Lepisosteus oculatus: one gene and its partner. The protein of the gene in region 2 interacts with the protein of the main gene of each other region in a biochemical or structural test. Links are inferred from orthologs where the notes say so. Each region holds a gene or a part of one and is shown on either strand. Other genes may lie near its edges.

Region 1 (15,810 bases), on a different chromosome or scaffold from region 2:
GGAACCTATTTATAGTCCTTCAGCCTAGTTGTATTTTCATTACTCTACATTTCATTTTGATTTAACATAGCTGGATAAGAATATATATTCACTTTAAAGTTTACACCAATCCTGGTTTTATGTGAATTCCATCAATGTAATGCCATTAAAGATGCCTCAAGCCAGTCTGAAACATGTTGGTATTAGCCTTTTATGAGGACTGACCAGATTCAAATGGTTACAGGCTTTTCATAGGGGAGAACATAGTCCAACATATCGCAACAGTAACAACAATAAGAACCACAGAGCTTTTTCCTTGCATTGGACGGACAGCAGTATTCGTTACAGAGTCACACTGTATTCTGCAAAGCAGTTTTTAATACTGAGTATAACTTTTGTCCTCAGAATACATTTTATTTGTAAAATCAACTCTCTCTCCTTTGACATATGACAAAAAGAGGAGTATAAAGAATCAGAATCATCAAGGCTTGGAGAAAACTAAGAGCAGCTTCAGCCCTCCTATCTGGTCATAGTTTGTATTGTGTTGGTGGCATACAGCTAATGGGATTCAATTTGAGAGCTGTCAGTAGGAACCACAAGTTTATTCCATCCATGTATGATTTTAAAGAGCTTGTATAAGTGTTCTCACCTGCTTTGACGGAGCAGTGGATGTGGGCTTTAGACTCATAATACACCCAATCAAATCCTGCCTCCACAGCTAGCCTGGACAGAGTACCATATTTGCTTTTGTCCCGGTCAGAAGTAGTGATGTCCACTGCCCTTCCCTCGTAGTGTAACGATTCTTCAAAATGGTGTCCATCTTCATCCCAGCCTTCTGTCACGCGCAGTTTAACTCCTGGCCACTGGTTCATCACTGAAATAGCCAGGGAATTCAGCTTGTCCTTACATCTCTGATAAGAAAAAGAGAGAGATGTACTCAGTGGCATCAATTAATAAAAAAAAAAACCAATGAGTTTGTGACTTTTAGAACCGTTTTGCCGCAAAATAGAGTATAGTGTTTGGACCCGTGTGCAATTATTCTTCTAGAGTCTCATTTGAATGTGGCAGACATAATGAGAAATCACTTTATTCCAGATATAGATTAGTATTGCCTATTTGAATGCGATTAATGAGCTGTATTTCTTGATTCCAGTAAAAGTGTTATCTCGAGAAATAAAAACATCACCAACACCTAGTTTCAGGAAATTAGGGAAAGTGTCCATTTTGTAGAAGTCACAAATAGGCCAACTAAGCTTTGGAAGAAAGGCGAATTTTGGAGCAACCAAACTGAACGAAAATCACTTTTCAGGCAAAAGTAGTCAAATGGTGTATAGCTTTTAGCGAATTGTCTTGAGAAATCAAAGTTCTCAAGGAAAACGAGGGGACAGTAATGCATCAAAAGGCAACAAAGGCATCTGTCAAGCTTCGAGTTTGAAAGCAACACTTTTAACTCTGGGGATTTAAAGTACGTCACGTGGAGGGGAGACTTTTGTTTTTTTTCTTCTTTCCCCTCACAAATGGATTTATTTGCTCTTAGAAGCTTTAGTTTTACAAATCACTCAGTAAAGTGCTTAACTTTGCAGATATTTGCAATGAACCTGCTGAGGCCCCAAAGATTCTTCTTGGCATTAGCTATAGATAAAAAAAATGAAAATTGTATGTCCTTTTCTGAACAGTCCATCTTCCAGGACATGTCCATAGACCTTATTTTGCTTTACAGTCCTGTTTTGTGATGCCCAGTTTATGGTGCAAGTCCCTCATCATCTCATTCATTAGAATTGGACAGAATAGAGACTAGTAAAAGAGACAGGAGAGGGTGCTGTCTGAAACATTTGATTTTCAAAAATGAATACCAGGATAAGGAAGAGGGCAATTAATACTTTATAATTTTTCATCTGCTTCACTTGCTTGAAACATATAGATCCATCATTTTGAATGAACACTGTTCTCTGGATCTATCTGTCTGGCTGTCTAGACAAGAACTGATGTTGAATGAATGCACTGAAAGAAGAAGCAGTCCTATGATTTAGAAGACTATGCAGTTACCAGATGCGATCGTTTAATTACGATCGTTTTACGGACTTTTTTCACATTCATTCATTTTTGGTGCTTGAGTATCACTGACGGCGTTTAAGAATAATTATACACACAAAATAGTTGGCGAATAATTAGGATACTACGCTTACTAATCTTTCCCGAGACCCAGAACAGAGATGCTTGGCCTTCTCCAGGACAACTCTTCCCAACACTTTACCAATATGTCAAGTAAAACATCACAAAAGACTCTTTTCACAGCGCCCGGAGGGTGAAAGACACTTTCATTACTCTTGCAGTACTACTTTTTAGAGACGTGACGAGATTGCTTAACAAGACATCAATGTCTGGAGATCATAAACAACTATTCTCACAATATGTCAATTAATAAAAGCAATAATTTATCTTATCAGAACGCCTCAAGTGCTTTAATACAAAATCATATTTATTGCGATATAGAAGAGGAATACAAGCGGTTTAAACAGAAAACTAAATGTTTCAGTTAACACGCTAAATTAAGAGTACCAGTTGCGTCGCAGGTCGATCTTCATAAAATGCACAACATATGTTTCGTTTTTGACAAGCCCCCCCCAAAAAAAACCAAGCAAAACGGAGCTTTTAATCTTTTATATGAGCATTCAAGTGTTTTCCACACACCTTCTACATCAGACAGTATTTCTGTGACTAGAAACAACGCAGAAGTCCTATTGATCACAGAACCTCAAGCGTCAGTACTTATCTAAAATCAACCTGCTGCAGAGATTATGAAACATTAAGATCAAATAAATGCATATACAGATCATCCTAAGCACTTGTAGCGCTCAGAAGGGGTAAAAAGGGCCATGCCAAAAGCTCTCCCTTCCTATTCTGAGCAGGATTGTCAGAGTCAAAAGCCGTGAAGCCCAAACTATTTATTAATTCATTGGGTCGTGTGTCGCAAATCAAGCCAAATTCTGTTCAGTCACCGTGAAACCCAGCAGGACTCGCCGTGCTTACGCTTTGTGCTTAGACAAAGTTGTTCAACAAGCCCTCGCTGCCAGTCCCTAATCTCTTCACAAATGAATTGCTTAAAGGAAACACTTATCAGGTACCTGTCAGTGTAAACAACCCGATGAACTCTTTAAATTCAAGCACGGTTTTAATATGCTCATCAGTTATGTTAGTCTAGATTCAGTTTAGCGCTGTTTGTTTTTTTTTAAATCCACACATCTGGGTTACACAAGAAGTTTTTTCTTCTTCTTTGAGGTGATCTCGCTAGTTTCACAGAAGCTTACGAGATGTGTCTTTGTAGTTGAAAGGTTGCCTGATTAACACGAAGCTCATCCAAATTGTTATGTGCACGCCCTCGAGCAACTTCGCGTTTATTGCCATAATAACTTTAACTGGTATATGATTTACATTTTAGGAAACCACACCAGAACTAAGCTTCATCTTCTTTAAAAGGTCCCGCGGGGTACCCGTTTATACAAAAATATACCTTATCCTTTTTTTCCCCCTTTACGAAAAAGGTAGCTTTTGATCCCTTAATTATTTAAACATGCACCTGTGTGTCCAGACTCTAACATTGGAGCACTCACTGGAAGCGCTCGTAACTGCGCCAACTTAATTTGGCTAACCTAATTAAAGATAGTCCGCAATTCCTCAGAAAGGTCTTTCCTGGTGCATTTCAAAAATAAATTATTTAGAATCCCCTCAAACCCTTTGCATATATACATCAGTTCATGAAGTAACCTTGCGGTCTTTAAAGAGCTATACTGTACTGGAGTTCGACGTGACGGCATTTGAAGATGTAGTCTATTCAGCCACAGTGGTACTGATGTCAGTGGTTTAAGAAACAAAGCATTCTGAACTCAAACTGTTCTAAAAACTGTTATCCTACAACATATAGAACTAATACGAATTTGTTTTTGTGACATACAATTGAAAGAAATTGACAGAAGGTCATAAGTTCAAATGCTCCCAGCGAATGCAGCCAGAGCGACAAGCCGAGAAGAAAAGACTGCCTTATTCCCAAGGAAGTGCTTGTCTTGTACAGTAGCGTTTCTTAAAAGCAGGGCAATTGAAATGTGTCTTCGTGCTAAAATAAAGGGAACGCGGATGCCCGGCCTTTCGCAAAATAGAATTACCACCACCAAAAAAACCCCCACCATACTGTACATTTTCTGCTCCTGTCTTTATTTTTGCGACCGAGTCTAAAGGCTAGATTATAGACAGATTATAAAACGCAGGCACCGGGGAGCTGGCGCTTTATGGTTGCCATTGGTTATATAAAAATACAAACTGAAATCCTAGCCGCTCCGATCGATAAAAGAGGAGTAAGTGGAGCTGAAAATGCAAGATGTGTCTGACTTGGTGCAGATCACTGCCTTGCAGCTTAGAGTCTCAATGACCGAGGGCTATGTGGGACTGAGCCGACTCCTTTAATGCTAGAATGGAAGGTTATGTCTCTAGCAAGACGGTATTTTGAATTACAATGTTACGAAGATGTAGAATGAAGGAGGTGCGTAGTAGAAACGTATTCTTTCCTGGCTGCACGCACTCCTACAGTACAGGGTGAATATTTAATTGGGGCTCGTGCTTCTACGGTTCAGTAAAGCAGGCGCGCGCCTCATCACTCCACTCCGGATCCTGCGATATTTAAGGAGGCTGGACTCGAATAAATTCCCTGAGCATCTCTTTTTAAAAATATAATAGCCATAGTCCGAGGAAGCATGTAAAAATAACCGGGTCTTATTAATAGCAAGGGTTTCACCCAATGAGTCTACGAAACACAGTATCTGCAATGATCATTTCTGACCCATATTTAATCTGAACTCAGCTATGCAAGCAGGTCATGCAGATGAAGTCTATTCAAAAGCAGAGATCACAGATTTGTTCCCCAAACAGCAAATAAAAGACACCGTAGCCGAGGTTCAAAACGGATGCTTATTATGCCGCTTCCCCCTTTATCGTCTTGCAAAAGCCGGTCACAAAGATAATAATTTAAAGAAGTCTTGAGTTCTATGCTAGTAGCGCGACTAATTGACAAAGTCCCGCCCAGCAATGAAGTAGTAATGGTGTACAGAACATGCTTAAAGAAATGTCAATATTTTCATGCCCCAATGAGCAACACTGCGAAATGTTATATTTTAATGCGTGCAGCTGGCTACTGTAACCTCGAGACTTCTGCAAGGGGCTGGAAGATTTATTTCTTCTTATTTTTAAATGTATTCCGACTTACAGATTGTGTGATTAAGTACAGGATGTCCTCTAAAAACGGGTGAATTGGCACACAATAAAATGGAGCATGAACTTAGATCGATAGCACAAGTAAACTGCAGTTCATAGTAACGTCTGACTGTCCCGGCTGTCTGCATTCACTTGGGTGTCCCTTTCCTTACAGTATCCACTTTAATTGATCTGACTGGAGCCTTGGGGACTTCAGCAAACAAAATTCACACAACCAGGACTCATAAAACAACACCCCAGGCAAAGCAAATTGAAAATTAAAAACAGCACGGAGACTTTAAACTTTATCAGCTTGTTGCTCAAAATATGTTGCCACAATACTAATCCCCAATGTACTGATATTGATCATGCATAGGAGTAAAAAGATGTTCACTCTACCTGTGTCATAAGCCTGTCAGCGCCAGTGTTTTCTTCATCCTTAAAGATAATGTCAGGATTGTAATTGGGAGTCAGCTCCTTAAATCTCTCAGAGTTCCTTGTGATCTTCCCTTCATATCTGCCACTGGCCCCCAGGGTCTTCTCTGCAACATTGGGAATAAACTGCTTATAAGCTAAAGGTGTCAATTTCTTCGGGTGTCTTCTTCTTCCATAGCCCCTGCCTGGTCCACAAGCCAACCCAGAGGATACGAAAGCAAGGCAGGTCAAGCCCACCAGCACGATTCTTGTCAACAGCAGCATTTCGTCCATCGATTCTAATTACTTGAAGCTTCTGTGTATCTATCTCTGGTCGTGTCCAGATCAACCTCTATGTCTCTCTCTCCCTCTCGCTCTCTTTCGTTCACTGTGTTCCTATGCCCTTGTTTCTTTTTCTCGTTGTGATACTATCCACCGATCCCTACTGAGGCAGGTGCGGAAATGTCAGCCTTCTGGTCGTTGATAACGGAATACATCGGAGTTGGGCCGTTGCAGGAAAAAAAAAGAGACTAAAACAGGGTTTGAATTTAATGGTAGGCAGGCTACAGACGCTTGTGAGAAGAGTCTGCCTTTAGTGCTATGTATTATAGCATGCGATAGCATGCGGGAAGGAGCTGATTGGCTCAAGCAGACGAACCCTTTCTGATGTTATCCCACAAAAGACAAAAAATCTTTAAAGATTTTTTTTTTCACCTGAAGGGTGGGTTTGAGGGGAGGGGTTGGCGTCTAAGGGAAAACATCAATTACAAGTTTTTTTTTCTTTCTCAAAGCTTGCTTTAGCGTAAATATACATTTGTCAGTCAGAGAAATAATAAGATTATCTTCACTGATATGTAAAAACCGATAACCAAGCATGGCACATTTTGTTATCCGGATTCCTCATGTGCTCTAAAGTACATGTACAATACAAATACATAGCTATTAAGAACAAGAAGAGGGTGGGAAAGCGGAAATATTTTATATATAAAATGGGTATTGTGAGTAAAAGTATGCATATAAAGTTTAATTAATTGTTGACAGTTGACAGTGCACTTACTAGCTAATCATCCTGACTTTGTGTCAGGGATTGTACGATGTTCTCTATTGATCTGCATTACACCTAAGAATTAGTACCACGAGTTAGTATCACTACACTTTATTGTTACCTAATCCGATAAGGAGCTCTAATATAATAATAATCATCGGAGACCATCTAACGGACGGAGATAAAAGCTTTAAACGGAACATTTACATGGAATCGTGAGAGATGCCAGTTATTAGCTTGACATAGAAGTTAAGTAGTGTTTTGAATTTTTAGAAGGGTGGGATGCACACCGTTATGGATTTGAATTTTAAGACTGTGTGAAGGAGAGAGCAAAAACTAATTAATTAAAAAAAATACTATTGTACTGTTTAGCCAAACGCTTACAGACTATGGCAGGCAACAGAACGCAAGACTAATGGTTTTAAGGTGTTTCATAGCCAGTAATCATTTCATTTGCTTATTGCTACAGTGGTCAGGGTATAAAGGCAATGAAGCAATTAAATTTGTAGGACTCCTAAAAAATCGTGTAAAACTTTAAGACTTGCTAGATGACAGAAAACAAGACAGCCATAAACGATTTCTAACAAAATGACATCGCTACTGAACAGGATACAGCAGCTGTTTAGCTAATGAGGAGTAATGCTCTTCATTTTTCAACTTTTCTTTGTACTTTAAATCACCAACTATCCCAAGATAACCTATTTTAACACGTTTTCGGTAATGGTTAAAATGGGACCCGTTAACTCCTTAAATTGCGAAACAAACTTTTTTAGTGTAAGAAAAAATACTCTGTTACAGGGAGTTTAGGATAAAAAACGAGAAAGGCAAAATAGAAAATATTCTTTCCGTACCGACACAAACTTTTGAACCATAAGCTCCTAATGACTTCCACGGATAAATCTGAAGAAAAAAAAACATCATCGCAAATTATATTTGAATAACATACATAGTAGACGATTTTGAATGTAAAAATCCGTTAAGTGGGAAACTTTGCTCTGTCTGCCAATAAATTTTTAAAAAGTTGGAAACATTTTATCTCGTTTAAATATAATTGATTTCATACATTTATATCACAAAACTGTGTAAACGAATATCAATTTCTTATGTTGGAGACGGTACCTATAAAACCCATTATTACAGCGGTCTTCAGAAGTTCTCCACCAGTATTTAACTAAGACCCCGTACTGGTTGCCATGGAGCCACCAACACATGTGAACAAATGCCTTGATTTACTTATAATTATCCATCATTTAAATTTCCAATGAAGGTTGTGCTGAGGTAAGATCATGGGAAATCTGTAATATTGAGAGACTTGGTGGCTTCTAATCAGTTCTAACATTAGACTCCACATAATGACTAATTTCCTGATGTGTACCCTATACTAAAAAGTAAAGCCTTCTTTTGCTGTCTTTAATTTCTTATTTGCATTGGCAAGCTTCCTGTTAATGCTAATTTTATTTAAATATTCACTCAAATAAATGAAACCTATATAAAATAGTGCTTAAAGAATATCCCTGATTGCTTTTTTGAATGTAGGCTACAATCCATGGAAATGATCAAAATCCACTCTGTGCCCTCAATGTACAGTATACTGACAGGCTAATGTTACATGAATAGAGATATACTATTTACAATGTGCTACATTGTGTCCGTCCTCTCTGTAGTGCCATCCTAGCAAAATGACTGTGAACATTTAAATCAGAGCACACAACAAAGTCCAGGAGCTATGAAGATGTAAAGACACAAAAAAAAAAATCTCAATCTTGCTTCTTTTCTCCCTCATGGAAAAAAATGCCATTTCTAAGTATTTTAGAGGTGACTTTAGATGTTATATAAGCCCAGTCTGGTCTCTTTTTCTACCATTCCATAGACTTCTGTGGAGTTAGAGAATTAAAAATTCAGTCTCCATATCTTCAATAATTTAACTCGGTCAAAAAGCCTTTAATTACAGCTTGCTAGGATGAATGAAAGCTCAGTGATCTAAGAGGAGATATAATAGTACTTTGACAAGCAAATGCACTGAAACAAACATTAATAAGATTGCAGGCGATGGAAGGTGCCAATACTTTTTGTGCGACTGTACTGGTTCCACTGCCTCCTCCTCTCTTTTTTTAAGGCTAATTCTCTATATTATACTTCTTTATTAAACTTTTAACTCCTCTGACAATTCTTACAGAAACCTTTGAAGGAGCCAATGGTCAACATTTTTGGCTTCTGTAGTTTTTTTACAGTTTTTGAGCCTTCTACATTCATGGTTATTTGCAGGGACTAGTTTGCCTGTTGGAAACACAAAACAGACAACATTGCAATCTTAACACCTAACATCCATAAAGTGATAGAAGCAACATACTATACGTATGCATCCCAAACCACCTTATCAGAAGCAACTCTTAACAAGTTAAAATTTGTAAGGACCAAATTGAAATGCGACTGCCGGCGTCCAACACAGTAGCTATAGGATGAACGTCAGTTAAGTCATGTACTTATGCGAAGAGATGGCTCCTAGGAAGCTGAATACTGGAACTGGCTTGCCCAGTGTACACAAACCTACTGCCTGGATCACAGCTTTCTGTTTGGGGAAAGATCAGACACAAAGCCTGCTTCCAAAGTACACTTCATAGTCAGATTTATCCATGGTAACCACCGTATTCACTAACCCATAGCAGCAGGCTAGGTATGTGCACAATTGTCTTACTTTCTCTTGTTTTCATACATTTGCGGAGTATTTTTAAACATGGTAGTTGCCTTTTTCCTGTTTTTTTTTGACTGATTAATACTCAGGTTGTGTTTCGTTTACTTTCTCTACTGCTTCTGACTACAGACTTGAATTTTTTTTTAGCTTTTAATCAAACCGCAATTGTCAAAGGAACCCTTCTGGAACCTCAGAATTATTATATGGCTGTAAAATTTTTTTGACTAATAATCATTTCCTTTTTTGTTTTCCAATATTTTTAGCACCCTTTGAATGCTATCTTATCTTCAACCTGATACCTTTGTTGGCTTTAACGATAGTATTTTATGGTTAGTCGGAGAAAAGGTTAGCAACACAGCCTGTGAATGAGAGAGCAATCAGGATCATAAAAGTTTAGGTCATTTTCAAAGAAACCGTCAGACAAATTTACAGTCAAAGACAAAATGATTTGAGCTCAGACCTACTGCAAATCAATAACAATCACATTCCTATTTGAAAAAAAAAGTAAAATGCAAAAATAAAACACAAGATTACCTATTTAAAAAAAATCTATTGTACAAAACAAGTAATAACGGAATAATTCACTCACTTTTTTAATTAATTCTAATATTTAAGTTTAAATCTCTCAATTAAGGTGATGGCCTTCATAATGTCTTCAGTATTTTATTTTGTATACAAATTGTGTTTGTGTGTGTTCTATCAATGTGTTGCTGAAATGTGATGTCTGCATCCATAAGATATCATTGTAGTCTTTATTATGTATTGTTAGCTTGCTGAGTTTGTTTCTTTTGTCACAAGGAAATTTCCAGTTTCCAGAAGATATCAAACAGGCCTGCACCCTAAGGAGAACCACCGACATGCTAGACACAAAATGCAGCTTTTTTGTTTCAGTATGGCCTTTGGTAGCTACTGTGGAAATAATTGTATTTTTGAATGACAAATCAACGTATCAGACTTTCCTATGTAAAATGTGTTATACTGTGTGTGTACATTTGTGTAGTTTTAAGAACAGAACTGCCTGCTCTGTTACTTGTACACTTCTATACTAAGTGGTATTGCAGAAAAGCTTACGATTACCCAAAATCATTAGGTATCTGTTGGGTTTTAGTAGATAATTATCATACTTGCTTTTAGAAATGTTTTTCTGGGCCTTTGACATCTCTGTTTGTTCCTGATTTTCACTGTGAAAGTGTACTTACAGACATCATGGTGGCTCAGTAGTTAGCATTGCTGCCTTGCAGAGCTGGGGCCCTGTGTTCAATTCCAGACCTGGGGTGCTATCTGTGATGAGTTTGTACGTTCTCCCTGTGTCCCTGTGGATATCCTCCAGGTGCTCCGGTTTCCTAAAACACATACTGGTAGGTTCATTGGCTTCTGGGAAAACTACCCATGGTGTGAGTGTGTGCATGGAAGAGGTGTTAGTGGGGCCAGCAGGGGGCGCTCACCCTGCAATCCATGTGGGTCCTAATGCCCCAGTATAGTGACGGGGACACTATACTGTAAACAGGCGCCGTCCTTCAGATGAGACGTAAAACTGAGGTGCTGACTCCCCGTGGTCATTAAAAATCCCAGGGTGTTCAGGGTTTTCTCATTGGCCCTTACCAATCATGGCATCCTAATAAAACCCACCTGTGAACTGGCTTCATTACTCTGCTCTCCTCCCCACTGATAGCTGGTGTGTGGTGAGGGTTCTGGCGCATTATGGCTGCTGTCGCATCATCCAGGTGGGGCTGCACATTGGTGGTGGTGGAGGTGAGTCCCCATTACCTGTAAAGCGCTTTGAGTGGAGTGTCCAGAAAAGCACTATATAAGTGTAATTATTATTATTATTATTTATGTCCAAGTGTGTCCTGTGATGGACTGGAATCTCTTCCAGGGTGTATTTGCCTTACACCTGTTGTTTGCCAGGATAGACTTTGGCTGCCCTGTGACCCTGAATTGGATAAATTGGTTAGAAAATTGATGGATGTGTACCTATTGGTACTGTTTTTGTAGCCTTTTAGGAGTAACAGATGTTTGTTTCGCCTTCATATAATGCTATTTCTTCTTTTTTATCCTTATGAATTATAATGTTTTCCCCTCTAAGTAATTATGTAGTTGTTTGCAGAATCATATTGGACTTAATAATTAAAACTGTGATGCTCTGAATTTGTTTGAAAATTCAGTGGATACTTAGTGTTTGGTCACTTGTGACCCTATCTGCTCATTAAACAGCCATTGTTTGTAGATTTATGCCCAGAATACTTCAGATATCCTTTTATATGATCTGTCTCTGCAGTATGGTTTTAATAATGTATATAAAATTTAAATAAACCTGTTTTTAATAACAAAAACTCCATATAGTGTACTTTAAAGGGAAAATGCTCTTCTACAATATTTTTACACACTAAAGAATATGCTATATTATCAAATTCCAAAGAACATATTACAATAACATTTAAATAACATTGCATGTTGTTCTCTGTGTTTATATAGCAGACATCCAAAGGTCACATTTTTTAGTGTTATCATGTTAAGTATGATGTTTGTTGACAATGACAACGTACACTGTTATGTCTGAAGATTATCTGTAGAATCAACATCACAAATTTGATTTGCAGCCCATGAGCAGAGGTAGGTTGATGCATAACCTTAAAAGTGCTAATATGTGCTGCTCATGCTAAGTGGCTAATATGTGTCCACTTTATTTTCTCATCTTTAAGTTCTGCTCTCCATCTCTTAACTAATTTGAGGAAAGACAAAATTATTTGCATTTAATTTCAGTAGTGAAGCAGTAGTGCCCTGAGCTATACCTATTCCATTTCACTTCTGTGCATGTCTGATCAAGGAATAGACACTACAGGACTATTTCGTTATTTGAGAGTCTGAATACATTAGGATTGCTGTAAAATGTGAATAGTACCACATGTTGTGCACGAATGATAATTTAATTAAGTAAATGCATGTTCTCATGAACTGTACATTTTTCAGAGACCACTACTAGTAATATTTAATATTCCCATACCATTTACACACTAGAATTTGACAATTATTATGTTTAATAGATGGAGGAAATAGGAAACAGCTGGTTCTTGGAGAGACAGAGAAGAGTTGCATTATTATTATTATTATTATTGCAGTTGTGTAAAACAAAATTTATCAATTGTGAGCACCCTTACTCTTATTAGTTAAAATTTCTGGAAAGTTCAGAGTACACACCCACTAATGAGCAAGTTGACTTTGGGGTACAGAAATTAAATACTGATGCGAAGTGACGGGGTCGTAAAATAAGAAAAATGGAAAAATGACTCCTCCGAAACAAATGTGTTGTGAAAAAGTGCTCTCTCCCACAGCCTGGTCTTTGCTCTTTATTATCTCTGACTACATTCTCTCTTTTTAGAGGACCAGCCTACAGCTGACTGTGGCTGCTTCATCACTCCTCTTCCAGCACAGATAAGTACCATGAGGGGGCGATAATGAGACCATGTTGAGACCAAAGAAAATGTGGTTGTCCTGACCTAGGCCTCCTATAAGAGCAAAAACCTAATTACGCAAGAATAACCCTACTTTATACTGGCTGTGACAGTGTGATAACTATGATTTAATCTGACCCTGAGTCTCTGTTCTCCTTTATCATTAAAGTGGTAGGATCTGCTTTGGCCAGACTTGCAGGCTCCCATTCTGTAGACTCACTCCAGTAATAAAGGTAAGACCATGGTTTCAGTGCACAAGTGTTCTGGACTAAGCATGGAATGGGTTTCATGCAGTGATGGTAATACTTTATTGCTTTTAATATCTGATCCACTTTAAGAAAATAAATCATCTGTCACCAGCTGTTGGCAGCACCAGCTTCTGTGCACCAAAATAAAGGTTCTTTGTTTTTGCCAGTCTTGGTGGTCTTTTGTTATGTTTTCTGACTGTATTCAAAAATAACATATACATACATATATACTTATAGTTTTACTTTTACTACTGCTGCTACGTGGTTTGTGAAGTAATCATGTAAATGTGAACCTCTAGCACTGCTCCTTAAGCTTTCCTCTGACATGTCATGCCCTAATCATCTTTGTGGACAAAAAACACCAGAAGACCCTGAGCACAAAGCTTTTAAAATGTCTTTGAAAGTCATCATGTTTTCTATAGGCTCTAAGGTCGTAAAAAGAGATTGAATTTGATTTTATACGAATATTCACAATTTGTGCAGAAATAAATAATGTCACAAGTCCTAAAAACAATGTCAATAGGAAGATAGCATTTTCTAAACTTTTCCTTGCTATCTCGAATTATTTGAGGGTGAAATACCTTCCTGGTGAAATACTGCCAGTTCTACATCATAGCATGTTTGTGCTGCATTTTGTTTGCTTTCTGGCGAGTGGTAGCACTGTGATTTGTCATGAATTAAAATTCCATTTTCTTTTCCAGAATCTCCCTTCACAGCTTGAACTGTCAAACCAGCTCCTGCTTTCACCTCCACCCCTGCCCTTCCCATCTGCCTCATCTGTACAGTGTGGTAGCTGTCCTCTCCTCACACAGTGTCACATGAAGTGATGGATATTAACCTGTGACAACCCCCAGCCAATTTCCACACACGTAGTCACGGGGCTATTAGTGTTTAAAAGCATATCATCATCCACAGTTCCTGACGTTCATTGAAGTCCATTGCTTGTACATTGAAAGCATGCTAGGAATCTCTTGAAGCTGCGGGCATATGAAGCAGAGGATTCAGTACCTGTGAGAAAGACTGTTGGGCTGTAAGTTCCTTGGGAAAGGACGATGTCTGAATCTTAAAAAAAATACTGTTTCGTGGCACTCGCGCCTTGTGCCTTCATGTAAGGTAAAGGCATCCTTTGATAGGGTTTGAAAAGGACTGCTGTTTTTCTACCATTGAAAAAAAAAACCTGCTGCAATAAGAAAACAAACTCCTTTCGTCAAAAGCATTTGGACCTCATGTTGGCCAGTTACAGGACAATGCAGACTTGAGCCGCAGACAGAGCAGGCTAATTTAGACACGATTTAGACCAACAGCAAAAGTGTCCAAAATTGACAAGGGCCAATGTCTTATGATTACATACAAATCTTTAACCTTGCAAAGAACGCTTGTTTTTGAGTATTTTCCATTAGGTGTTCACCTGGTGAATGGCTTTTATTATGATTTAATGCAAAACCAAGCTAGCAAAAACCCTGTAGAATCTCTGTAATCTGTTGTTGCTGTTGATAGCAAAATTAGATAAACACAGAAACAGCTCAGTATTTGAAAAGGATGTGTAGCCTATCCAAGCACTCAAACCCTCTGTAGAATCATAAATCTGTATATACTGTATAGTATGTCTAAACCAACACTGTTTTAAGGTTATGATTAGAATTGGGCTTAAATTGATTGTTATTATTAGCATTAGGTTTAATCTAATGCTAATTTAAGATATGCAGATGTTTAGAAACTTCAGAAACTGCCGATACACCTGAAGATTTTTTGGGTGGACGAATTGAGAATATATATGTTAACTTATAATCTTAGTGATTCCAGCACAGAAGTGAAGTATTTAGTAGTAAAAGAAAGTGTATTCAACTAATGCACATGGGTCAGCAAACTGCTTTGCATTGTATTCTATTGCCATGAATCAGTTTTCATTTATATGTCCACATTCTGCCCAGTGAGGTTATTTGTACATGATTTGTCATCTGCCTCACTCTGTTGTACTCATTCCTGTCCATATATCAGTAACACCAGCGAAGAGCCTAACACTGCTTTTCACTTGCTGAATGATTATTTGTAAGTTGTGCCTGGGTGTATGTTTTCCTAACTCAACTTATTTTTTAGGCACTTTTTGTGCCTCGTTTTTTAGTTTAACCCATTCGATGTACTGTATATAACTGAAAATCTATCTTCAGAGATTGATTTGATTGCAACGTATTTTATCATTCATTTGTTGGTTGTGTGCTAATAACATTGGCAAGAAAAACACTTAAACCTGGAACTATTTTTAACAGCTTTACCCTGAAAAAGAAGGATAGATTTATTGGAGGTAATTCGTGAAATATATTGTATTTTGTACACATTAAAATTCATGCCAAACAGTAGGAACTTCCATTCAGTTTTCTTTAAAGTCTTAACTGGAGTCCTCCAACTCTGTTTCTGTTAAATGCGTGAACCTTAAACACTACTTCCTGCTTCTCATAGTCAACATATTTACACTTCAATGTGGTACTCTCAGAACCCAGAAAACAAACAATACAGGATCAGAAGTGTTTTTTTTTAGTTTTTGTCTATGTGTTTAGAATGTATAATATAATTCGGAACACTAGCTCTCAAATTCGTATTACGGAGATTTTATATCCAGGATGTTATAACAGATTAGATACCGTACCATTTTTCTGTCATTAGACAAATATGGCGTGGCAAAGATTTTCCAACAGGGCTGGTTTTTGTTTTTTTATGTGTTATTGCTCAGCTTTCCTTTAT
Region 2 (16,222 bases):
CACTGCGTTCACTGCGTTGCCGAGCGACAAGAGAGCCCTGACCAGCTAACCCTGCCCTGTCCTGTCCTGAGCACCACTTGATGACCAGCATTGTCTTCTATTGGTCTTCAACAGTCAATGGATCCTTCCCACAACAGCTGCATTTCTTTAAGTTAGGGTTACTTAAAGAAGCTGTATTATCAGCGTTAGACTGTACTATATTTGATTTAGGTTAGGAACATACATCACGTGTTTCTTACAGGAATATAACAGGGCTACAGTTTTGACAGTTGATTTTCCACCCTGATGACTAGAAATTTCCCATGACTTTGGACGTTGTGTTAAGGTCTTAGAACTGTCCCGCCTGCTGAAATGCATGTTATAATTGCAAGGATTTAAAAATACTATTCTTAAAGGTGGTGCTGCTTACATACCCCTGAGCTCAAGATCTGTTTCAAGGCACATTCTGTAGATGGAACATTAAAAAGAGTATTTAGAGTTTCTCAAATAGTTTTCCATAATTAAAAGGGACAGCGACATCTGTTCACACTGGAGTATTTTTTAAATTCACATTTAATTATTGCAATTTCTTCTAAAGTACTTTTTATATTGTTCGCTTCTTTCCCCTCACACTTCAGTGGAATAACAGTATTTAGCTCTGCCAGTAAGCAGTACCTAATTCATTTTAAATTAGTATTGTCAGAGCAACCAACAACTGTCCAGACCGAATTTTAAAAAATTGAATGCAAGAAAGATATTGAAAGATTAATCTTTAACATTACCTAGCAACTCACTAAGAATCTGGATGCAAGCAACAAGATATATGCATCCTTTACCAGAAAGCCACTCATTCTTGATCACGCCTGTCCTGTAACACACAGGGCAGGGTCATAACCTGGACCGGTCAGAGAGAACATTCAAAATCCACACAGAACCCGCACTTCTGTCCAGAATTTACCCCAGGACACCGGACCTGTGGCAAAGCAGTGCTAACCACCACAACACAGCATTTTAAAACCTGAATGTTTCCGAGGAAAGCCCCACACTTTCAAGTGAAACAACGTCTCCTGAGTACGCCTTTTTTTTTGTCTCATCTAGAGCTGCCTTTTTAAGGATTTTGTTTGCACATCTTTGGGGTGGTCCTTGCCTGGCTCGCATAAGTTTAAAAATGCTCTGCAGAAGAAAGTGGAATAAAGACAGTCATAACTCCAGCACAGCAAAACCATCTGAACAGATATGGTCACCATGTCTTTACACCAAATGCTGTGCTGCGGGGTTTATAACTCAAAAAGCACACAAACCCCTCCACGTTTAATTAAGGAAGTTGTGTTCATAAAAAAAACCGTTGGAGGATTTCCAGCACAGCTAGACAGCTCACACCATGTTTGCTGGCCAAATTACATGCACAAATTGACTTGCGTCTAAAATAATGTCTGAACATTATTTTCTTATACACAGTTTCTCATCAGGCCAGTTCTCCAAAATGTAAATTATTCCTCAACATTCGAGTCTGTAATAAAAAATGACTGCCCTCTGGTGGATGTGTAACAAACGCTCAATTTTTTTTTAGTCTTATAAAAGTAGACTCACAGACTGGTTTCTTTAACACCCCTTCTCTGCAAGTCTTCAATCTACACCATATCAATGAATCGAGTATCAAATGAGGTTTTAAATAGCCGAGTCTTCATCTGATTAATTGTAGCCCAGGGGACCAAGACCTGAAGTCTCCATTAGAGAGCGAAGGTCCTGTATTTCGATATCTTGATGATTTCATCACAGAAATCTCACTGAACCGAAGAGCACTCTACAGGAAGATAAATATTTACGGGAAATTATTTTTAATTAAATGTAGCCTATGATAGTATTTTTCTTACTACTCCAATGATGTTTTCATTAACAAAATGCCCAAGGATGGTTCCCCCTTCTCAGGACTATTAATCCCATAATCTGAACAGCTCTCTGCAAATTTTCAACACGGTGCCAGCAGCAGGAGACAAATGAATGCTCACTTGAGGCTTTATGAATAGTTGCAAAAAAACATGCAGACAAAAGAATTTATAGTATACTCTAGGAACAGTGCATTAAGGCGAAGAGAAACGTGTTGTTTTACTACAGGTGAAAACCATCTAAAAGTTTGTACTGTACAGATTAAAGTGCATATACAATTTGTTACATGTGCATATTGTTGCGACTGGCTACCCACAGCAAGTTTAATTACTTATTTAACATGTAAAGGTCTCAGACTCACAACCTGTCCCGGGGACAATACTTTAAGGATTAAATATACATTCTGTCAAAACATGCGCCTCCTTCAACTATTACTGTAAGTTAAGAAACACTAAATAAAGGTTCAATGCAAGTCCTTCAGATATGTCATCGCACATTACAAAAGGTTTTTTTTATCTACCTTCGTGACGGTTTTTACGACACAGAGAATAAGTCGGAATACCCCCTCAGATACAGGAAATCAGGAAAAAGTCTTACAGAGGTTTATCCCCCAGAGGGTTTGCCCTAGAATACCACAGCCCCTCAATCCGATTTACAGCACACACATTTAAGACAAGTAAACAAGAGGAAAGTTTCCTAGAATCACATCTTTTTTTTTTTCCTCTGCGGAGTCTGAGAGGATTGGAAACTCATGTCACACTGCTGGTTGTGTGTCACTATCCATTCTGAGAGGATTGGAAACTCATGTCACACTGCTGGTTGTGTGTCACTATCCATTTGGTTCCGATACCCTAAATTACATTTTTCACTTGTTCCTACAGTATGGGTCAAACTGAGCGGTGTTTTCAGGATCAACAAGCTCTGGCATCCTTAAATAAGCAGTCCCTCATGCTCTGGCCATTTTCTTAAGCCACAGAGGAGAAGGTTTGTATTTCTAATAGGCAAAATTTTAATTTTTTAGCATATCTGGACCACTGTATTTTTTTTACATGTCTACTTGTCATGCTCTAAAGCACAGTGGTAACAATACCTCACTTTTACTCCACTTGAAGGATGAAAACATTTTGTTAATAACAATGTGCTGGTGAATGAGAATGTATGGCAGTGGAACTGTTGTATGATTCTGCCAAAAAAACCTTTTTAACATCAAACTGGGAATGTCTGTGTCAGTGTCTGTAACTACAGAGAGGGCTGTGGGAGTCTAGACTATACTACCCAGCCTTGTTGTTGGAGGATTCCATGTTGTTCAAGAAATGGTTGGATGAGACCCTTGGATCAACTAATTACCAGCAAACCAACAAGACAGATCAGACAGAATGGCCTCTTTCTCCTTCTCCAAACCTCTCTTATGTTCTTAGCCTTGAGAGAACATTGGTTCAGATATGATTCTCTCTCTAATGGTGGTGGACTGCTACAGCGCATGCAAAAGGATGAATAAAAATCACTTTCTTTGCTTGTTGGATCAGTAAACCTCCCCCTTCCCCTCAGAGGAAAGAACAGAAAAAGTCATTCCTAAGGTCTCCCACTACCAGACAAGGTAGGGCTTATGTTTGTAGCGCCCCCTCTCTTTCCTGTGTAAAATGACGATCCTATCACAACGCAGCGATCTGAGTAAAAAAGTATCCATCTCCCGTGATTAAGAATGAACTAAAATTCCTCTGCTTTAAATTCTGTTCTCTTTCTCTTAGAATCAGTGGCGAAGGTGCTTGTGTTACTTGTGAAAGTGTTAAATTTTTTCTTAATGATTATGAACATCAACCAGGCATGCACTTTCTGTCATTTCTCAGATTGCCCCAAAAGGCAAGTCTTTAACAAATCACACTGAAATGTAGACAATAAAACATTACGAATCTGGTACCATTGGAAGCCAAGTGGAAATGAACAATTCAGTGGACAAAGCATTTGTAGGTCATAGAGAGGTCAGCTTTGAAGGACAAATGCGAATTAAATATAAACATGGCATCACAGAAACCCAACAAATCTCCCACAGCTTTGTCCAGCCAGCACTAATCTATACATCAACTGTGGTGAATAATCTAAACAAACAGATCTGACGCTTCATGCATCTGGAAGTTGTCATATTTTCAAACTTGCAAAACTGCAGATTAAACATTTTGACCCACACAAAGGCTTGCAGTAGACTTCAGAATTAAGAAGCAAACAAAAACCCCACATAAGGTATGCAAAGTAAAAATAAATGTAGCGGCAAAGAATTCAGAAACGTTTTAGCCGAGAAATCTTTATTAAAGATTATCTGTAGCTGGATATAGAATTCTGTGCAACATTAAAAAGAAGGCCATATTCAGACCTGAGCTCCACTCTACCTGACAGGCTTGCTAATAGGAATTCAGCACTTTGCCAGAGAGACTGTATTCAAATACTTTCAAATCAACAGATTTATAAAGACCCAATAGACTGAAGAGTAGAGAACAAGGGCTTCAGAAAAGCTTTAAAACTAAGACTGAACAAAACTGTTGATCAAAGGAGACACAGCCTTTGTTTATTGCCCATGCCTTAAAAGATTGGAAGTGGAGACAGTTTTTAGTACATCGATTTGTGGAGGGTAAGGGGGTTAAGTGTGAGGTAATAAATTATACTTAACTATATTCAACTTAATTGTACACACAAAAAAATGAATTGGTTTAAAACTAGATCCATATTTCCTTAAAATATTTCTCCTTATTACTGAACTGCCTCCTATTCAGTTCTGCTTCACAGAAACACAAAAGACCTGTTCAGTGTAGATCAGTGACTGATTCCAGGACATCTCCTGGCACGAATGCAATACAGCACAAGCTTACTTCATTCAACAACTTCAATGAAGAAATGGGTTCTGTAGTAACGTCTGTGGTATTTCTCAAACAGTCTGCAACAGCCTAACAAAACACTGCACAATGGTAAAAATAAAATGGAAAATAGAAATGCTATTCATAGTTCTAAATAGCATTACACTGTCAGTGCCCCTCAATCACAAATTAATCTATTTGTGTAGTGCCCATATTGAAGATCAGAGCTTCAAACACTCTGACAGGAACATAACACATTTTCAAGCCACGCAAATGGAGAACAGAAGAGACCTACAGCAATGGTTCTGGGGCAGCAAGATCTGTTCCAGTTTCTGATCCACATGAATTCTTAATCACAGTCTACCCGACCTCTTTTTTCTATCTGGGGCATATTTTAAAAATTTGCTTCCAGCTCTTCAGAGGTTTTTTGTCATCTAAAATGCTCTGTAATTGGCATCAACCCTATTCCAATCTCTGCATTTCAAGAACTATCCAATTTCAGGTGAGCTGGTTAACCTATAGCTAATTGGACCTCTGCAGAAAGAAAAGAGGTAGGTGTCATTTGACACATTGTCATTCCCACCTCTATGTGTTCAGCATTAATTGGTGACCTATTAAGACGTGGTTTGGTTTAGTGGTTTGGTCATTAGGATGAGGAAAATAAGGAGAGGCTATTTAAAATGATGGTTGCTGAAGTTATTTGAGGTAGAGTTTACTGAAAATTAAAAGTTCATAATAAATATCATAAATGTGAGGAGGGAGATGTATTATTTGGAACAAAATGTTCATTTCATGAAAACGTACCCTTAAGGCACTATCCTATAGCCATCTGAAGAATTCTCCACATTCTCTGCAAATTAATTGTATCAACCGTTCTTTGCAACGCAATTAAAATGGCGAAAGAGAATTTTTTACAGGTTAATCTCAAGTTTACTAATTAACAGAAATTTAAAAATGGAAATGGGTTAAGACGGATAAGAAAATTTAACTATTTTAACTACAGCAATTAATGAAACATTTGCGAAGCTCCTTTAAGCCGTTTTACCCTTCCTTTAATTATCTATTCAGAATTTCTATACCCTTTGTTTTCAACTACTGGAATGTAGATCAAAGAAGGGGAAAAACTTTAATTGAACTTCCCCCATTCCCGAAGTCTACCTTTTCCACAATTTATTCTACGAACCTAATCGAAAAATGAATTACTTTTAATCTCTATTTGCCAAAACATATTCATCTACTTTGCAAGTATGCGTTTCATTCTGTACTTTACTTTTTTCCGCTTTTACCCAGAGACAAATGTTTTTTTCAAAGTTGAAAGCTGTCCAAAACAGGACCACACACAGACTCTCCGGGCTGCACAGATCAGATTCTACTGCTGGGGCACACACACACACAAAATGGCGGCTTTTTACAGAATTTTATATATATATATGCACACTATACGTACGTCTTTTTTTCCTCTTCCACGTTAAATAAGAAAAAAAACAACTTGAGAAATGCCATTCCTCTAGAACCCTTATCAACTCCCTTCATTTCACACTTTCCCTTTTACAAAACTGTAACACACAAATCACAGCAAATTCTTTTCAAGTTTTTACCTGGCTCTTTGCCAAACTGCTGCACAATAAACAATCCCTCCAGTTTATTTGGCATACACCTCTCCCCACCCTTGTATTACTCTTAAAACTAAAAAGCGCAAGAATATTTTTAGCAATAACTAAAATTTAAGAAGGGGTTCTTACCTTCAACCCACAGTTTCTCCACGTTGGTTTCTAGATTAGCTGCCCTTAATCCCACAGCAAAAGCTCCAAATATTAAGAGGCCAACAACTAAAAACTTTCCGCAGTTCTTTTGTATGTAACACCCCAGTTTAAACAAGAGTCTCTGGAACTTTGCTCTCAGCCACAGTGGTGCCTTTCTTCCAGTAGCCTTCCCCTGCGACGAAACAAGAAAGTCCAAAAGTTACTTGTTAGGAATGTGTTTATCCACTGTAAATATCTGTAATGAATGCTCGGTTATGTAAGTGACTACCTGTAACACGTCAATTTTTTATCGGAATACGACATTAAAAAGATCACATTTTCTATTTTGAAAACTTTGCTGCTGCAAGATGCGGAGGAAATGATAGACGTCGTGTCAGCGATTTCTTGTGTCACTTGTTTCTCTGCTACGGTTCAAGACAGGTATATACCGTTACCTTTTAGTTAACAAAAGCTAAAACTTTAATAACCTACATTTGAATTTGCTTTTTAGAACACCATTGATTCATATACCCATTGTACGGGTGGGATATACAGGACGCTAGTTTTTCGTTATTCTTCCTAAAAGAGATCAAAGACCTCCTACGTGGAAGGAAAAAGAAAACGGTAAACTGCTTGCAGCGTGATAATATTATGCTGCCAATTGCGCACGATAGTCCGTGGGCTGCAAAACAGCTACCTTATCAGTGACAGGTTACAGTAGCGGTGCCCTACATTGTAACAAGCAATATTAAAAAAAAACTTAGATCCACGTGGTTTCCATTGCTGTTAGACCATAAGCTGGAGGCTAATTCATTTCCATAGAGTTCAGAGACGCTGTGTGATCTGAATTAGGAAGTGGAGCAGCCATCTCCGAGTTACGACAATATTTGCGAACGGAAGAGGGCAGCCACATGGATTTTTGCTTTAGCAGAGGGATAAAAACTACTCCCCATAAAGATACTATCGCTTATGCACTGAACTGTTCTAAAGGCGACTTTAAAAGAATCGCCAAAAAGGCTAATTCAGTTAGCGACTCGAACAGCTATATTGTATTAACTGTCCCATTGAAATGATCAAGGTGCTGAACTCCGGAGAGCCAGAGTAGTCAAAACATTGTTTACTAGAGTAAGTACATCACTACAGTTTTACGCACAAATGCATCTGCCTGTTTTCTTACCATGGTTTCAAATAACTGGCATGACATTATTGTTAATCGAAAGACAAATCGGTGTACACTGGCTGATCGGAAATACATGTTTCACTATGAATTCTGACCAGCCTGTGTACAACATGATGTAAAGAACGGTTTCGTTGCAAATACACTGTCCCCCTCGCCCCTGTATGTATACCGTTACCTAGCGACTTGACAAAACTAGGAAAACTCACATGGTACGGAATACCCATTTCCCCGTTTAAGACATTTAAAAGGAAAGCACCTTTGATATTTGCTCCAATGCAAAAGCTGCATCACAGTAACTCGGCCGTTGCAAATACTCCAAATCAGTTGCTGTAGCTGCTGCGCGATAGTTCCCTCTATTCCTCCGGGTTATCCTCGGCCGATCAGGGTCTCTGTTTTCCTGCTCTGAAACATTAACAGCCGAGGCCATGTTGTAGAGACTGGGCTGTAGTTTTTGCGATCCACGGTCTTAAATTCCTCCGAACGCGTGTTTTGATAATCCAGGGTAACAAAGTTTCACTACCGCTAATCTCGGGCTCGCAAAGTACTTCATACTCCTGTTTAGGACGGCGAGTCAAAGTCTGCGCCTTCCATTCCAACATTTCGTGATCCGGAGGTCTCCACAATTTCCCACATCCACTGTTTTCTGTCCTCTCCAGATATGTGTTTTTAAAAGACGAACGTGAAAAGAAGCTCTCCTTGTCCAAAACAGCGACTCCGACCGCTCCGTTGTTGTAGCATTCTGCGCGCTATGCTCTTTCTCAGGCCGCGGGACCGTGCGAGCTCCGGGATTCAATAGCTCAGAAAAAAGGACTCTCTCCATTTGGAGACAGAGGAGGAGGGGTAAGGCAAAAAGGAATCAAAATCCCGCCTCCAGGGCTGTCAGATGGCTGGGGTTTCTTGGATCTGATTGGTTCCAGAAGGGCAAAAATTACTCAGCAAACACGACTATTATTAGCTGCTTAGCAACAGCTCACCAAAGTAGAGAGACCACCCAAGCAGGCAACCCTTGTGTGTGCATCTCAAACTTCAGGGGAGCCTTAAAGAACTCCAGCCTTCTCCAGCTCTGCGTGCAACGCCGCTGGAGTCGGCAGTTTTCCTTCTTTCTGCGTTTTCTGTTTTCCTTGCAAAGTATTTTTCTTCAACTGGAATTTGAATCTCCGCCCGATTCATAAAAATGCTTCAGAGTTTCTCAACTGCAGTTTATGTTTGGTTTTCGAAACTCTTTAAAAGAACATTCTACCGATGTGTTCCCTGGCCTCATGATTTTTTTTAGCGAGTCCTGGGAGGTCCAGTTGAATTCTCAAGCTCTAACAGCGATAATGACAGCATGGTGGATAACGCCGGAGAACGCGCCCGTGTGTTTCTTCACCTCACCAACCAAATTGTTTTTTTTTTTTGTTCACAGCTGAACCGGCGATCGAAATAAAAAAAAATCAAGACTTGTCTGCTGCTCTGTTTTTTAACACTATCACGCAAAGAATAAATATGTCTGACAGACGCGGAACATGAAACAGATCTAACCATGGTATATCCAAACAACATAAAACATAAAAAGGAAGCGCCTACTGTATATACAGTATGAGGGCAAAAAAATGAGAAAATATGCCGGATGAAAAAATAATGAGCATGTACATAAAACAACAGAATGCAATAATATTTTCCACTTTCTTTCGGCTAAGAGTTTCTCGGAACATTTAAAATTTTGGTGTCAGGTGTGAAGTTCCGTACACATATGTATCTGCATAAAATGTCAATGAAACGTGTGTCCGTAAAGGATGGGTTTTTAGTCACGTGAGTTCACACACCGAAGGACAACTCCCCCAAGAGCAATCAACACGTTTCTTTAATTCTGAAAGCTTAGCTCGGCAGAAGACTTTCGAAATATGCATCACCGACACTGCGCTGTGCCTGAAGAAGTGCAGCGCGTTGCACGGTCGGGTCTACCCCTTGCGCTGTCCAATACCAGTCACCGCTGTCAAGTCAAGGGCCAATGGTAACTTCCAAACAGGCATGCCCTCTTATTATTAATTGTGTCACAAAGCAATTTCTAGGGAAAGGAACGCGTGGTGAAATATTTTACTTACTGACTAGTTGATATGTTGCCCAATCGAATTAACAACAGGTTAATACATATTCCTGTCTTTTTGAACGATAAAGTTTTCATAAAACGATCAATTCATATAGCATTCGTTGCCTAATGGCATTCTCATGAGCATTAGTGCCATGACAATCCCAATTAAAAACATAAACATTAAGCCTCTTCACTGTTTTCTTCTTTTTTTCCAATCGTTATAAGATCACGTTGGTACAGTATTACGTAACACCTACACTTCAATCCATCAGTTTTATTCAAACTGATTTTTCTTTTTTGGGGGGACTTTCTTCCCTCTTCAAGCACCAGTTTGATACAGCTGGTGAATCTACATAATAATAATAAGAAGAAGAAGAAGAAATCTTACACTGAGCTATTGTACTTCCCGGGCTTCGCGCGGATCTCGGTAAATCTAGTGTACTAAGGCAAGACACCCCCTGTAATAAGTGTTAATCGAGCGCCACCTAGGAAGTAAAATGTATGTGCAGTTGTAGTTGGAAAACAAAAAGAATCAGTGACACTAACCAGTAACCTGTGTATTGACATTTACAGTGCTCAGTAGCCTATGTTAGTGCAATCGATCTCAAGCATGCACTGAAGGTTTTATTTCTCATACAACTCTTTATGGTTGCAGCTAGCCTCAGAATCCGAGTGACCGAAATTGTTTACGGCATCTGACAAGATAGACTTTAAAAGGCTGTTCGGGCAGCACAAGAGGTGAATACATTGTTGAAAAACGCATTGCTCAGTGAGCTGTAAAACACGCAAGAGGGTTTTTCAATAAGATGTGACAGGTGAAGCCTTACTTTGTACATAACGTGTTGTAAATAAAGATAACGGGACTGCTTTAGCGATGGCGAGCCTAAAACTGTAACCGTGTATTAAAGTAACAAGCTACACGATTATCACTTCGGCGCAACCAAATAGCTTCAAAGATTGTAGGACAGCAGTTGACAATGATATGACGCAAGGTGATCTTATGGAGGGGGGGAATGAGAGGGAAAAACAACCTGGGTTTTGTTTAGGTTTTCTATTTTTTCATAGTCTAATACTGTGAATAAGGCAACTGGGAACTATCCTGTTTATCACTTGCCTATATTCAAGCCAAACCTATAACTGCTGGAAATCGTGTCCGTCTTCGTTTTTATTTCCCTCAGCAAATGCTGAATGATGCTTCAGACGTAAGCTTCGTCCTTTTACCTCACCAGCAGTCCCTGTGGTCTGATTTTGGGTACACAAGGATGAATTACATAAGGGATCTAATTGGTCTTCTTGCCGTAATCTTTGAGAAGAGAGAAATGCAAGCGGTGTCAGTTGAAAGTTTCTGCCTCGACTTGGGTGGCCAGCCGTAGCAGTAGATGAGTCATAGCTGCCCTTAGTTTACTCCACTCCTGATTAGATTGACCGATACGAGTGATTCACTCCCTTGTGATAGAGTTGTTTCTGACCACTCTTCCCGCATTTACATTGGTGAGCCTTTTACTCTTTAATATGCACGTGTTGTCAATACCGATAGCACAATACTGCAATGAATAAAACAAATCACCAAAATACTCCACTATGATATTTGTTAAGGAGCATTAGAGGTTCTGGACTCAAACCGAAAGGATGTAGGTTCGAATCATTGGCATTATAGCTCTACCCTTGAGGTAGAAGCTAATTCATGCAGATTGGTTCAGCAAAATACGTAGATGTATTGTATGAAGAGGTGCAAATGTAAATTGCTTTGAACAGATATGTCAGCCAAATAATATGCAGAAATAGTATTAGTACAATATCGCCATAACAGCAGAGTATACGATGAAAGCTTTTGTTTAATGCAGGGTGACTTTCTAAAAAGTAAAATATTAATGTGAGTACGCTTCAATGACATTTTTCCCATTGATACTACAACAAGGTGTCCCATTGAATCTACAATATTCCCTTCGGTAGCAAGAATGAAGATTCTGTACGGAGAACAGAACCGCATTAATATTTGGGATTTGCCATCCCATTGTTAGGCAATTGAGATTGGAAAAAATACCACGTCTGAAAATGACAAGCATAGAAAGACAAGAAACAGAGACAACGATTGAAGGACTAAAGCTGACACATCCTGCCTAGTTCCACATCAGCTCTAACCATATCTACTGAAACGGTAGAAAATGCATTCATAACCTACAGGAAAAGTTCCATTTCGAAAACCTTTGTTTATACCCGGAAACTGACTTGATGGAGGGGATGTTGGAAAGGGACAGTTTTTCATTCTTGAGATTCATAACCGGTAAACGGCTACAGGGGTAGCACTATGAGGTAAAACAGCCTCCTTTCAAATGATGACTACAGGGACAGGGGTGCAGAAGCACCTTCCGAATAGTCTGAATACATACAAGTGTGTACTCCTTCGCAGACCAGCTCTCGCAACGGCTGCGACCATCCATTGGATCAGATCACAATCGCTTTGCAACCACAAAAAGACGGACTTTCAAAGAAAGGGACAAAGGAGTTTCAAAGATAAATAATTGGCCGAATGGAACCCCGCCCATTTACACACTGTCTGGTAATGCCGAAGACACGAAATAACCTGGAGAAAAAAAAACGATCGTGATCTAAACGGAGGAGGGCGTGGTAGTACCGGTGTTGCTCATTACAGTAGCTGATACTGATAGTCGTAGCGGTCCGCGCATCGCATGGTTTTTAAGTGTGTGTATTTTCGTTTTTTGCGCACATGCATCTACAAGTTCTAGACAGAACTGATAGTCGGGATTAATTTCCCACAACTTTCCACGCGTCTTCACTGCATGAAGTGATTGTTATGCGACTGGGAGCGCGGGTTTTGCCTTCGCCTGGATGCGACAGTTATCCCCCTCAGTTGTCGGTGGTGTTATTTCCTATCGGTCTCCAATAATACCCCCTTGTCCAGCCTCGCACTCTCCTTCGACGCGCCACGGGTTTTCATGAACGCCCTGTTCTGCGCATGCAGTGGCGGTAGAGGAAGCCCACACCACACACCGAGAGTGGCGGAAAGGCACTACTCAAGCCAGCTTGACATAATAACGCAACGAATCTGATCGGGTTAAAAAGGAGAACTCTCAAGTGACACATGCTTCTCCCAGAGCTTCAGCGAGCCGCGTCGCCATAAAGAGGACAGTAACGCGTAGCGACTATAATTTGACAACGGGTGCATTTTAATGTGCATGGAATATTTGATTTATTATAGAGCGATCCGCCTCACTGTAAAACAAAAAAAACCGCTTTTTATTTTGTCCCAAAAGTGCTCACTTTACAAAATGCACATTTTAATTACATTCACCGTGCCTATCGATTCTTGGTCACTAATATCACTGTTATTATAATTTGCATTGCTCTAATATTGCGTACAATGGCATACTCACCATCAGACGAAATATAAACATAAAAGGAAAGAATGGCTGAACATGACAACCATGCTAATCTTCTTAAGTGATTAGTGCAATATATGTATGCTATATCTTAACGTGAAAGGTTTCCAGATTACTGTGTGCAGAACAAGCAACACACGCTTGATTTCCAGATGTAGTGACAGTAGTAAAGGTAAGACGTAAATTAAAAAGCAGTCACTTATAAACTACTAAATACATGTTAATACTGTGATGCTGGAAAAACCATAGAACAGTCTTTGGTAAATTCAGATTAACAAGGTACTGAAAAGGAAGATGTGTAAATCCCAAATTATGTTTTACAGTAAATAGGTAACAAAAAACTAGTTTCAGTCTATAAATATAGACCACAAGTAAGGACGCAATTTGACGACTTTCCTGTCATTAGTCTTTTATGGCCATAAATAATTTCAGAAGATGAAAACTGTGTTTTTTTATCCTTTTCATTTAATTTCCGTTAATATACTCAATTAAAAACATTTCATTTACCTCAACATGTCCTGTTAAAAGCATACTGAATAATTTAATGAAAGGCGCAAGGAAGTAGTAAGAGTGATAATGTGATTTTACAAGACATACAAATTGAAAAATGGGACATTTACTGGTTCATATATTTTATTACGTACGTCTTCGAATTGAAACTAAATTTACTTTTCCTTGAAGGAGATGGTCGAAACAGGGATGACCCAGGGATGAAGTCTGTCTGGAGACTGAGCACTGATAAAAAATCGCTACACAAGCAGTTCTTAGCTGTACGCCAACGGCAAGCCCCATCATCATCCAGTGTATCACCTCATTCATAATAATCCCGTATTAGTTACAGCAGCCAGTTACTGAATTAAGAATATCAGTATCACAACAGACGCGGTGCCTTTTGCCAAGATATCGCTCCTGGGTAAGACACTCGAAATTAATTAAACTGTCCTACTTACCATCATCCACTAGCTTGGGAAATCTTCTGGAAATGTGAAATATTTTGTCTCTCCCCCAGTCGTTTAGAGCTGTCACGTATGCAGCTGATGAAAAGATTCCTGTTTTTTAAGAAAAAATGCAACTTGGCGAGTAATAATCCTTCTTGGTTGCAGGCATTCTGCTGAGTGCTGGAAGGACTCACAATTACATGCCTGTTTCTATTAAGCAGCTCCATCGTCTCCATGTGGGTGGTCTGAGTCTCAATAGGCAGGACCTGTCAGTGTCACGTGATTGCCCTAAACTTTAAACACCCCCCCGGCCAAAGAAAAAGAGAAGGCAAAGTAAACGAAACCCAGTGCTTTATCTGTGTAAACATGCTTTCCTCACTCAAAAGCTCAGAAATTCCTGAAGCTAAAAATCGCCTTGTGCTTTCTTTGGTGGGCAAAATCAGCAGATCCTACTGCGGCTTGTTTTTACAGATCCACTTTAAGCGTTATTTCACAGGGTGAATCTGATGGCAGAGAACACTGTGTCAGGAGACGATCAGAGTGAACCTGTTCCAGTGTCTCTTGTGCATTTATTTCATTGATGTTTTTAGGAGTCGTTTTTTGACCGAAAGCATAGGAAACGTGCAAACTAGATTTTAAGTAGATCGACATTAAATGGTTTTATGTGACATTTGCTTCTTGTGGTTGTTAACCTTAATATTGGTTACATGGTGTTTCACATGGTTATTCTTCAACGAAAATATTAATGTAAAATGAAAACGTAAATGGTTTTAAAACATGCCGGCGGATTTGTTTTAATTTTGTATTTCATTTTTATAAGGGAGCCTCATACCTGTTATTGGCGTTTGGCAAAATATTGAAAACGTTCAAAATTGTATTTCGAGAGCCAAGAAATTCAGGTAAGTGAATAAAACTAATTTAAAATGCGTTAGAACCCTGTTTGCACAGAGAACAGTTTGTGCAAGAGAATGTATTGAGATGCCACGGTGTTCTGTGCTTGAGCTTCATTACAGCTTTCACCTGTATAAAATAGCATTATGAGAGCATTTCAGGAACAGTGCTTTGTAAATATCTGAGTTTAATGCTGTTTGTAAAGGAATATTTATAACAATATTTGTCCTACATTAGTCATGGTATTGTATAAATTTATCTTGGATTCACATTTTAATAAAATGATATCCTTATATTTTAGAGCACATGCTTAAAAGCACCATTAAGCACCGTTGTTTTCCAAAAATAAAGTATGGGTACAGTTTTGTTCATCATTACACATCTTTTTTATCCTTTCAGGATTCTGTTTGAACATGTTTGCAGTGAACATAGAAACATCTTAAAGTAGTAAAACATTTTTGCCAAAAGGAAGGAGATATTGTTTAGATCATTAATAGAGTTACAGAAACCCTTATACTGGAAAACGTATATTTATTCAAAGACAATATATTTCCCATATAGAATTTCCTGGTTATTTGGGTGCAGGTGTGTCCTGGTAACATCTTCTAGACGTCTTTTGGAGTGATTTCCAAAATCATCTTGACTTCTGTTCCCTCCCACTAGAGCACTTCCTACAGATGAATAATGGAAACAAAGTGACAACACCAGGTTTACTGTTGGCAGGTGATATGTTTTAAAAAACATTAACTTTTACTGAGGGCTTCTCACTGGGCACTTATATTTGAAAATACATGAGAAAATATACTGGTATCAAAGCACCACAGGTGACTTTTGAAATTTTCTTTACGTGTAACTTGAAAAGAATGTAAAGGTTGTTTGAATATGCTATTAAAAGTAGCCATTATATTATAAGCATCTGTGCTGCCTAATTAAATACAAATGAATATAGAAGCTCTGGGCCTTCTCTCTGAAATGTATACATAGATTTCTGGCCCTTTTTTCTTACTTTTACTCATATCAATTTGCCACAAAGCACATGAAAACTAACCTTCAAATCTATAGCAATAGTTCTGAAGAAGCTTCAAACAGCCTCTTAAATGAAACATTGTTTGGACATAAGGAAGTTTTTGCAATATATTTGAATAATAATCTGTTGATGTTAAAGTTTAGCACTTTTTTGAATATGTTAGTGAACAAGACCAGTCTGTCCAAACAAAACAGTTTGAGGCGAGAGTGGAATAATGAGCTGTATTTTTGTAAACTGTGCGTGTTGAAGAGAAAAAAAAT

What was found.
Region 1: the proteins of ptch1 (region 2) and shha are reported together in a solved structure, tested with the Homo sapiens proteins (5 studies listed by BioGRID and IntAct, with this or other methods). The link is inferred for Lepisosteus oculatus from reciprocal best matches to the Homo sapiens genes PTCH1 and SHH.

What each region holds. Positions count from the first base shown.
Region 1 is NC_090701.1:11,937,353-11,953,162, forward strand, and holds the start of shha (sonic hedgehog protein), read right to left. Parts: upstream 6,236-15,810; 5' UTR 5,929-6,235; coding exon 5,620-5,928; intron 891-5,619; coding exon 629-890; intron 1-628.
Region 2 is NC_090698.1:57,283,830-57,300,051, reverse strand, and holds the start of ptch1 (protein patched homolog 1), read right to left. Parts: upstream 8,459-16,222; 5' UTR 8,062-8,458; coding exon 7,891-8,061; intron 6,648-7,890; coding exon 6,455-6,647; intron 1-6,454.